2 linked regions of the Ovis aries genome follow. The main gene of each other region encodes a partner of the protein of the gene in region 2 in a complex. Links are inferred from orthologs where the notes say so. Each region holds a gene or a part of one and is shown on either strand. Other genes may lie near its edges.

Region 1 (3,746 bases), on a different chromosome or scaffold from region 2:
CTCCAATTGAGGGTCCAGAGTACAGATTGCTCAAAACCACGGAACACTTGTTTATCCCATTATCTCCCTTGGCCTTGATCCCCGGAATCTATATATAGTTGCTTCCACCAAACACTGAATTGCTACCCACAGTCCAGCCCTGCTGCCCACTGCCCACCCCACCCACCACACCCTCAGTCATGAATTAACCTGCCTGGGCTCTGTGCTAACACGCAGAAATGAGAAACAGACAGCTCTGTTTTCTCTTGAGTTCAGTTAGGGGTAGGAGCAAGAGTAAGAGAAAGATGGGAACAAGGTTTGATTTGTGACATATCCAAATCCAGGCTAATGTGGGCTACTAAAACAGAGTTCTACTAGGAGCGGTCAGAAAGAAAAAAACAAATGTCATATATTATGCATGTATGTGGAATCTAGAAAAATGGTACAGATGAACCTATTTGCAAAGCAGAGATAGAGACAGAGACACAGTGAACAAATGTATGGACACCAAGGGGAGGAGTGTGAGGTGGGATGAACTGGGAGACTGGGGTTGCCATCCACACACTACTACTACTGCCGTCGCTTCAGTCGTGGCCGACTCTGTGCGGCCCCATAGACGGCAGCCCACCAGGCTCCCCCGTCCCTGGGACTCTCCAGGCAAGAACACGGGAGTGGGTTGCCATTTCCTTCCCCAATGCATGAAAGTGAAAAGTGAAAGTCGTGCCCTTAGTGACTCTTAGTGACCCCATGGACTGCAGCCCACCAGGCTCCTCCGTCCATGGGATTTTCCAGGCAAGAGTACTGGAGTGGGGTGCCACTGCCTTCTCCTACTATGTATAAAATAGATAATTAATGAGAACTTACTGGGTGGCACAGAGAACTCTGCTCAGTGCTCAGTGGTGACCTGAACAGGAATGAAATGCCCCCCTAAATGTATACATTTAGCTCTTTCTCTTTGCCATATAGCAGAAAGTAGCAACACTGTAAAGCAACTATACTCCAATTAAAACTTTTTTCAAAGTAGCCAAGAAAAATTTCTGAACATTAAGCAAAGGGTGGCGAACAGGGCATCGAATTTCAGAAGCAGAGCTGGCCAGACAACTAGGGACTTTTTGTTTCCTCTTCTGTTTACAGTAATACCCAGCACTTATGAAAGCACCTGGCCCGGAACGAGTGGCCCACCAACAGTAGCAGCCCAGGCACTGAGTGAAGAGAATAACCATCCTGTCAGGGCACGGAGAACAGCAAGAAAAGATCCTCTGCATTTCCTCATTGACTCCCACAGCCACCCAGGTCAAGTAAGTGCCTGCAGTAGCTCCATTTTCAGATGGAGGCAATGAGGCTTAACAAGATGAAGGTAGAGCCTTGAAAACCCAGATGCCTAGGCCGCATCCCCAGATCAGCTCTGCTGAATCCAGGGGTGAGTGGCCTCTGGGCACTGGGACTCTCGCAGCATCTGAGAAGAGTCAAGCTTGAACCAAGGTGAGGACCGAGGCCAAGCAACAGCCCAGGTGCCAAGCCAGGTTACGATGCAGTGCAGATCCACCATCCTGACCCCCACCCACTGCAGGGCCTCCTGCCTCTGCCCTGGCCGGGTTTATAAGGGAGAACCCAGGAGCAGTGCCAGAGCCCCATGGCTCTCCCTCTCTGTCTGAGGAAAGCGGGCTGAGCAGAGCGGCCATGCCCCACAGGCAGATGCAGCCTAAACTCTGTCCACGGTAAGTACAAGCAACAAGCCCAGACATTTCCGTCTTGATTCTACTGTTTGTTTCCGAGTTGAGCCATGGCAACTGGTGAGGGGCAGAGGGTGGGGAGGCAGGGGGATTTAGCCCTCCCACCCCCATGGGTTTGCTCAAACCCTCTTCGACATACACAATTGAGATTTTTTCAGTCTTATGTAAAGTGAAAAGAAATGTCCTTAGGAAACGCATTGATACAAATCTAAACGTATGTATCCTATATAAACCAGTCTTAGCCTGTTCCCACTACTCTGCCAAATCCCTCCTTGGTGTTAATTCTGGAACCCCTCTTCTTTCCCTAAAGAAAGTACTAAAGCTCCCAACCCCCCCACCCCCGCCCGCAGCTGCAGGGCATCACACTCAGCCCCGTTCCCCCACCCTTGAACAGGCAGAGCCAGCTGGAGCTGTGCGGTCAGCTCCCGGTCCCCAGCAGGTAAACCCCACGTTGTGGGTACCAGTCCCTGCTCACCAGCATCAGGAACGCGAGGAGCAGCAGCAGCGCGGGGTGAACCCTGCAGCGCATGCCGCCTGGTGAGCACCCACAGCCCACGGGCATGGCAAGTCCTCCTGGCTGTGGGCCCGTCCTTCCCAGCAGGCTCTCTTCTCCTATCACCGTCTGGTCACCTTGTCACAGACACTCTCTCAACTCTTCCCGTCCCTGCTCCCGAGCATTCTTGTATTTATCAGGGGTGGGATGGGAGGCTGAGGCTTAGCCTTTGGCCTCATTAACCACAGGCAGAATTCTCAGGAAGGGAGTGGAGGAAATAAAACTGCCCCAGCGATACGCACAGCAGGCGTCTGACCCCAGGAGACCAGGGCTCAGTCAGAGGAGGGTGAAGCCAGTATCTATGGGGAAATAGGGGTTTGGTTTCTTTGTTTTTGGTTCCAAAATCAGTGGAATGCCTACTGATCTCTTCCTTGTAGCAGAGTATTTTAATGCTCATTTCCTTATAGGCTCTATTGCTTGAAATCAAAGAACTGGAAAAGGACTCCAAAAAAGAATAACTTTATTAAGAGACGAAAAAAAAGAGAAAAGTATAATTTTACCTTCCAAAGCATTAACCATCTTTATCCCAATCATTTCTTGAAGTTCTGGGGTTCATAGACTTCACCAAAATCTCCTTTACGTTTAGATGAACCTGCCTTTTTGATTCTGAGATGAAAGAAAGAGGGAGGAGGGATGGGAAAGAGGCTCCCTGTGGGAGGGTCTCTGTACCGACCTGGGGCCTTTACATTAGGATTCTGGAAAAAAGACAAGTTGAGGTTCTAACATACCAATACTTCAGGCTGCAATGAACAAGTGGAAAACAAGATCTAACACTCATTAGTCCCCATTACCTTAACGTATTACCTGTGATCACATCACCTTGTTGAAAACACTAAACAGTTCTTCAAGAGGTGAAATAAAAGATAATATTTACCTTGTCTTAATGTATTTTCATGGCTCTGTGACAGGTTGCTGTACTTTTTAATTTGAATTGTTTATAATCTGAATCCAAGTTGTTTGTTACTAAAAGGAGTAAGTAATGCAATTTTTAAACCTTTCTATATTTCCTGTACATAGAGTGGGGAGGAGAGTGGGAGGAGTGTTCAGGACACATGTATACCTATGGCCAATTCATACTGATGTACGGCAGAACCCATCACAATATTGTAATTATCCATCCTCCAATTAAAATAAAGAAATAATTTTTTTAAAGAAGCAGAATAATAATGATCAAATTTACAACTTTGAATAAATAAATCTTCATTTACTTTCAAGATGGATATTTTTATTCCATGTAAATCTATTGGCCACCTGATGCGAAGGGCTGATTCATTTGGAAAGACCCTGATGCTGGGAAAGATTGAGGGCAGAAGGGAGGGCACGAGAAGGGGACGACAGAGGGTGACATGGTTGGATGGCATCACCGACTCGATGGACATGAGTTTGGGTAAACTCCGGGAGTTGGTGATGGACAGGGAGGCCTGGCGTGCTGCAGTTCATGGGGTCGCAAAGAGTCGGACACAACCAAGCAACTGAACTGA
Region 2 (3,646 bases):
ACAGTTCCTGGTGGTGAGAACATTCCCTTTCCCATTCTGGGTCAGCCCCTGCAGATCTTCATCCATTTCAGTGGCTGCCCAGTGCCCATAATTTATTACTCTGTTCTGGGACATTTTGGTTGCTCCTACTTTGCTATTATAGATGAGGTTAACGTGAACTCCTCATTCTGGGGTTCCCAATACCCAGGGTCAAGCTTTGTCTTTGAGGAAAAACAGTTCTGGTAGATCTTCCAAATCCAACTCCACGAGGCTTTTGCCTGCCTTCCAGGCTCTTCTCATGTTCCAGAGTTGTCCTGATGTCTTGGTCGTTTGTCTGAATACCACTGGCATCTCCTGGAGCGAGGGGCAAGGGACTGGGAATAGTGAACCTTGTCTTCTAATTTAGACTTTGGGATATAAAATCAATGAAATTGTTTAAGGGAAAGAAATTATCAAGGATTCTGAAAGATGGGCGTCTCTGCCTGTCTCTTCTAAACCTGGAATAAAGATGGTTATTCTTGGGGTGATTGCAGGTCCAGTTTCCAGGCAGTTGATCCCTGGGTAGTCTGGTCTCTTGAGTGAATGATGTGCAAAGCTTTTGGCACTGTAGCTGGCACGCAGTGAGCACTGGATGAGTGACAGATGCCAGCTTAAAATCGTCCACTTCTGGTGGGAGGCCTCCTCCCTCATTCAGCTGTTTTTGTTTGTTCCTCAGAGAATCACATTTTGGAAGACGTGAACAAATGTGTCATTGCTCTCCAAGAGAAAGATGTGGATGGGCTAGACCGCACAGCTGGTGCAATTCGAGGCCGGGCTGCCCGGGTCATTCATGTTGTCACCTCAGAGATGGACAACTATGAACCAGGAGTCTACACAGAGAAGGTGCTGGAAGCAACCAAGCTGCTCTCCAACACAGGTGCGGGACCCCTCCCTCACCTGTGCTCCTCACACACAGATGGCCCTCTGGTTAGGAAGTAGGACACTGGGGCTCAGTTTGGTTTTCGGACAAGAGTTCTGGAAGGTACATCGGATTTATGAGTCATTGGTCAGCCACAGTAAGACCACACAAACACGTTTCCCTTACTTGTGTCCCACAGGTAGTAATGGGAGTCGTTCTGAACTCTGAACTTCTGAGTTATATCTCTAGTTAGTGAACACACTAAATTAAGGAGAGTCCCATTCTAGTAAGGCCTCTAGTTAATCCCAATTCAAATTCTCAGCCATCTAAATCCTGTGTTCCAGAATCTGGCCAGAGACAAAGAAGAGGATTCAAGTCTTTGTAAAATATGGCATTTAATTTATTTGAACTATAAATACCTCTCACATAGGTAGAAGCAGAGGCTCTTCATCATACACTCTGCCTCTCTGCATCTGACTGAGGGATTTAGGAGGGCTGGTGGTGATGTTATCATCTCTCTTCTCCGCAGTCATGCCACGTTTTACTGAGCAAGTGGAAGCGGCTGTGGAAGCCCTCAGCTCAGACCCTGCCCAGCCCATGGATGAAAACGAGTTTATTGATGCCTCCCGCCTGGTGTACGATGGCATCCGGGACATCAGGAAAGCGGTGTTGATGATAAGGGTGAGTAACTGCATTTCAGATGTTTTAACAGCTTCCTTCTTATCATTTGCTAAACTTGAGCAATGCATCATTCTGGAACTCAACAGATGTGTTGGCAATATATTAAAACCATGAATCTAAGGGCTGTTAGGAAGAGATATGTTTAATTACATTGTTTAAAATGACTTTTAGTTGCAAGTTAGAGCCCAAACTTGGGCTGAGAAAAGGGGACCTAGTATGAATTGAGGCTTCCTCTTGAGTTAAAGGGCAGTGATAGAAAATAAAGGCTCCTCAGTGAATTTCAGAGAAGGGAATATTTCCTTTATTCAGGTTGAAACTGTTCTTTACATGGAGCACTCCTCACCTCAGAGGGGTGGCAGGCAGGCAGGGTACTAGAGCCCAAGGGTATTGAGGGGAAGGATGAGGGGCTGTGCAGCCCTTGGTGATGCTCCTGATCTCTAGGGCCAAGTGTCGAGCCCTCTCACCGTGGCTGAAGGGAAGTGCCACCTGCTCTGGGCCCCGTTTGACCCGTCCTCTCTGAGCCAGAGGCAGTTCTCAGCGTCTGAGGCAGTGTCTGGGGTCCCCTGGGCATGAACAGTAGGGTTTTGAGAAACCACCTCCTCCGTGATCATCCCGTGTCTTAGGCTGGGACTCACATAGCAGTTGATGCCTCACACGCTGTTTTGAACATGAATGTGTTGCTCTGGAAGTGGAGAGCAGGACCTGTGCCAAGCTCTCCCGGAGTCACCCCCAGGCTCGGGCCAGCCCTGCCGTAGCCACAGAGCCAGCATTTGGAAGGCAGGCCTGCTGAGTAGACGGCTGCTGGCCTCTGCTGACAGTCTAGTCTTGTCGGGAAGCTTCCGTTACACCTTCATGGTTTGCTAGTCCGACCGCCCAAGGCGGACGGGGTTCTGTCCCCCTTTTTACCCCCTCAGCTGGAAACAGAAGCCATTTCTAAGGTAGTTGCATCAGGCTGGATACATTCTGTATGCAACGTAGCAACATTTGGGCATTACTGCACTTCTCTCAGGGGTAAGGAGCAACAAGAATGGCTCAAGGACTGTATGGCTGGCTGCTGGGTGTTCCTGCAGGCCCGGGTCACCTGCACATACTGGGGGTTGGGAGGGGATCTGGGGGAGCCTGTTGCTTTGTTCACCCCTGCTGCTGTGCTGGAGAGCAGCCCATGCTCAGGGAGGCCTGGCCCCCAGAGGTGCGAAGGGGTCCCTGGGTCAAGCGCACCAGTGATGGCAAAACGCAGCCCTGTTTTTCCAAAGTTCTTTGCATGCGGACAGAGAATAGAAGAAACATTAATAATCATGAGTTGCTGAGTGTCTGAGGTTAATGCCTTTGGGGTTTTAAATGAGCTGGCACTGCACACACCCCAGGATACCTGCACATCCAGGGCCTGTTCTGTGGAAGCAGGGTTCCTCCTCACATCTGAGACTCTCAGCAAGTTCCCGCATCTCTCTAAGATGCAGATGATGGTGTTGGTAGCTTGATGGGATGAACTGGAGGTCAGGTCAGGGCCTGGCATGTAGTAGCTGTTTCTTGTGTGCTTACTGCTGTGTGGGATCGTAAGTACAAGAGGCCCTGGCAGGTGTGGTGAGATGGAACCTGGGTGTGGTCACCTGGGAGGGCTCAGGGAGCAAGGACGGGTAGGTCTGCAGCAGCCTTGGTTTAGTTCCTCCTTTTTGTCTTGATTTAATTCAGGAACCATCCTTCCAACCCAGGGCCTCTTGGTTTCTTGATGCCTTGTAGTTAGCCTCTTTTGCCTGGTCCTTGTCATAACCAGCATCCCCATCATCCCTTCCGTCAGCTGCTCCCTTTGGTTCTGTGACTTCCAACAATGCTTTGAGTCCATCAGGATATTCAGCCGGTTGGTCCTCCCCACTTGCAACCCTCCCTCAGCCTCTTGGGTCCTTGTCTCACTCCTATTCCAGCTTCTGTTTCATCAGTACAATCTATTTTGCACCCTTTTACTCCCCTTATTTGCCTTTCAAAATACAGCCCTAGTGAAATTCTGTCTTCTGCTGAACATGGTGCATAAAAGTACAGTCATCTGACTGGGGTCACTGGACCCAGGATGTCAGGGGACTGCTGGTGCTACAC

Evidence for each region. The genes of interacting proteins can lie anywhere in the genome.
Region 1: CTNNA1 (region 2) and CDH26 share a complex: the UniProt entries of both Homo sapiens proteins name them as parts of the cadherin:catenin adhesion complex. The link is inferred for Ovis aries from reciprocal best matches to the Homo sapiens genes CTNNA1 and CDH26.

Annotation. Positions count from the first base shown.
Region 1 is NC_056066.1:56,278,344-56,282,089, forward strand, and holds the start of CDH26 (cadherin-like protein 26), read right to left. Parts: upstream 2,373-3,746; 5' UTR 2,275-2,372; coding exon 2,188-2,274; intron 1-2,187. UniProt on the Homo sapiens protein: Cadherins are calcium-dependent cell adhesion proteins. They preferentially interact with themselves in a homophilic manner in connecting cells; cadherins may thus contribute to the sorting of heterogeneous cell types.
Region 2 is NC_056058.1:47,904,792-47,908,437, forward strand, and holds part of CTNNA1 (catenin alpha-1), read left to right. Parts: intron 1-694; coding exon 695-895; intron 896-1,406; coding exon 1,407-1,558; intron 1,559-3,646. UniProt on the Homo sapiens protein: Associates with the cytoplasmic domain of a variety of cadherins. The association of catenins to cadherins produces a complex which is linked to the actin filament network, and which seems to be of primary importance for cadherins cell-adhesion properties.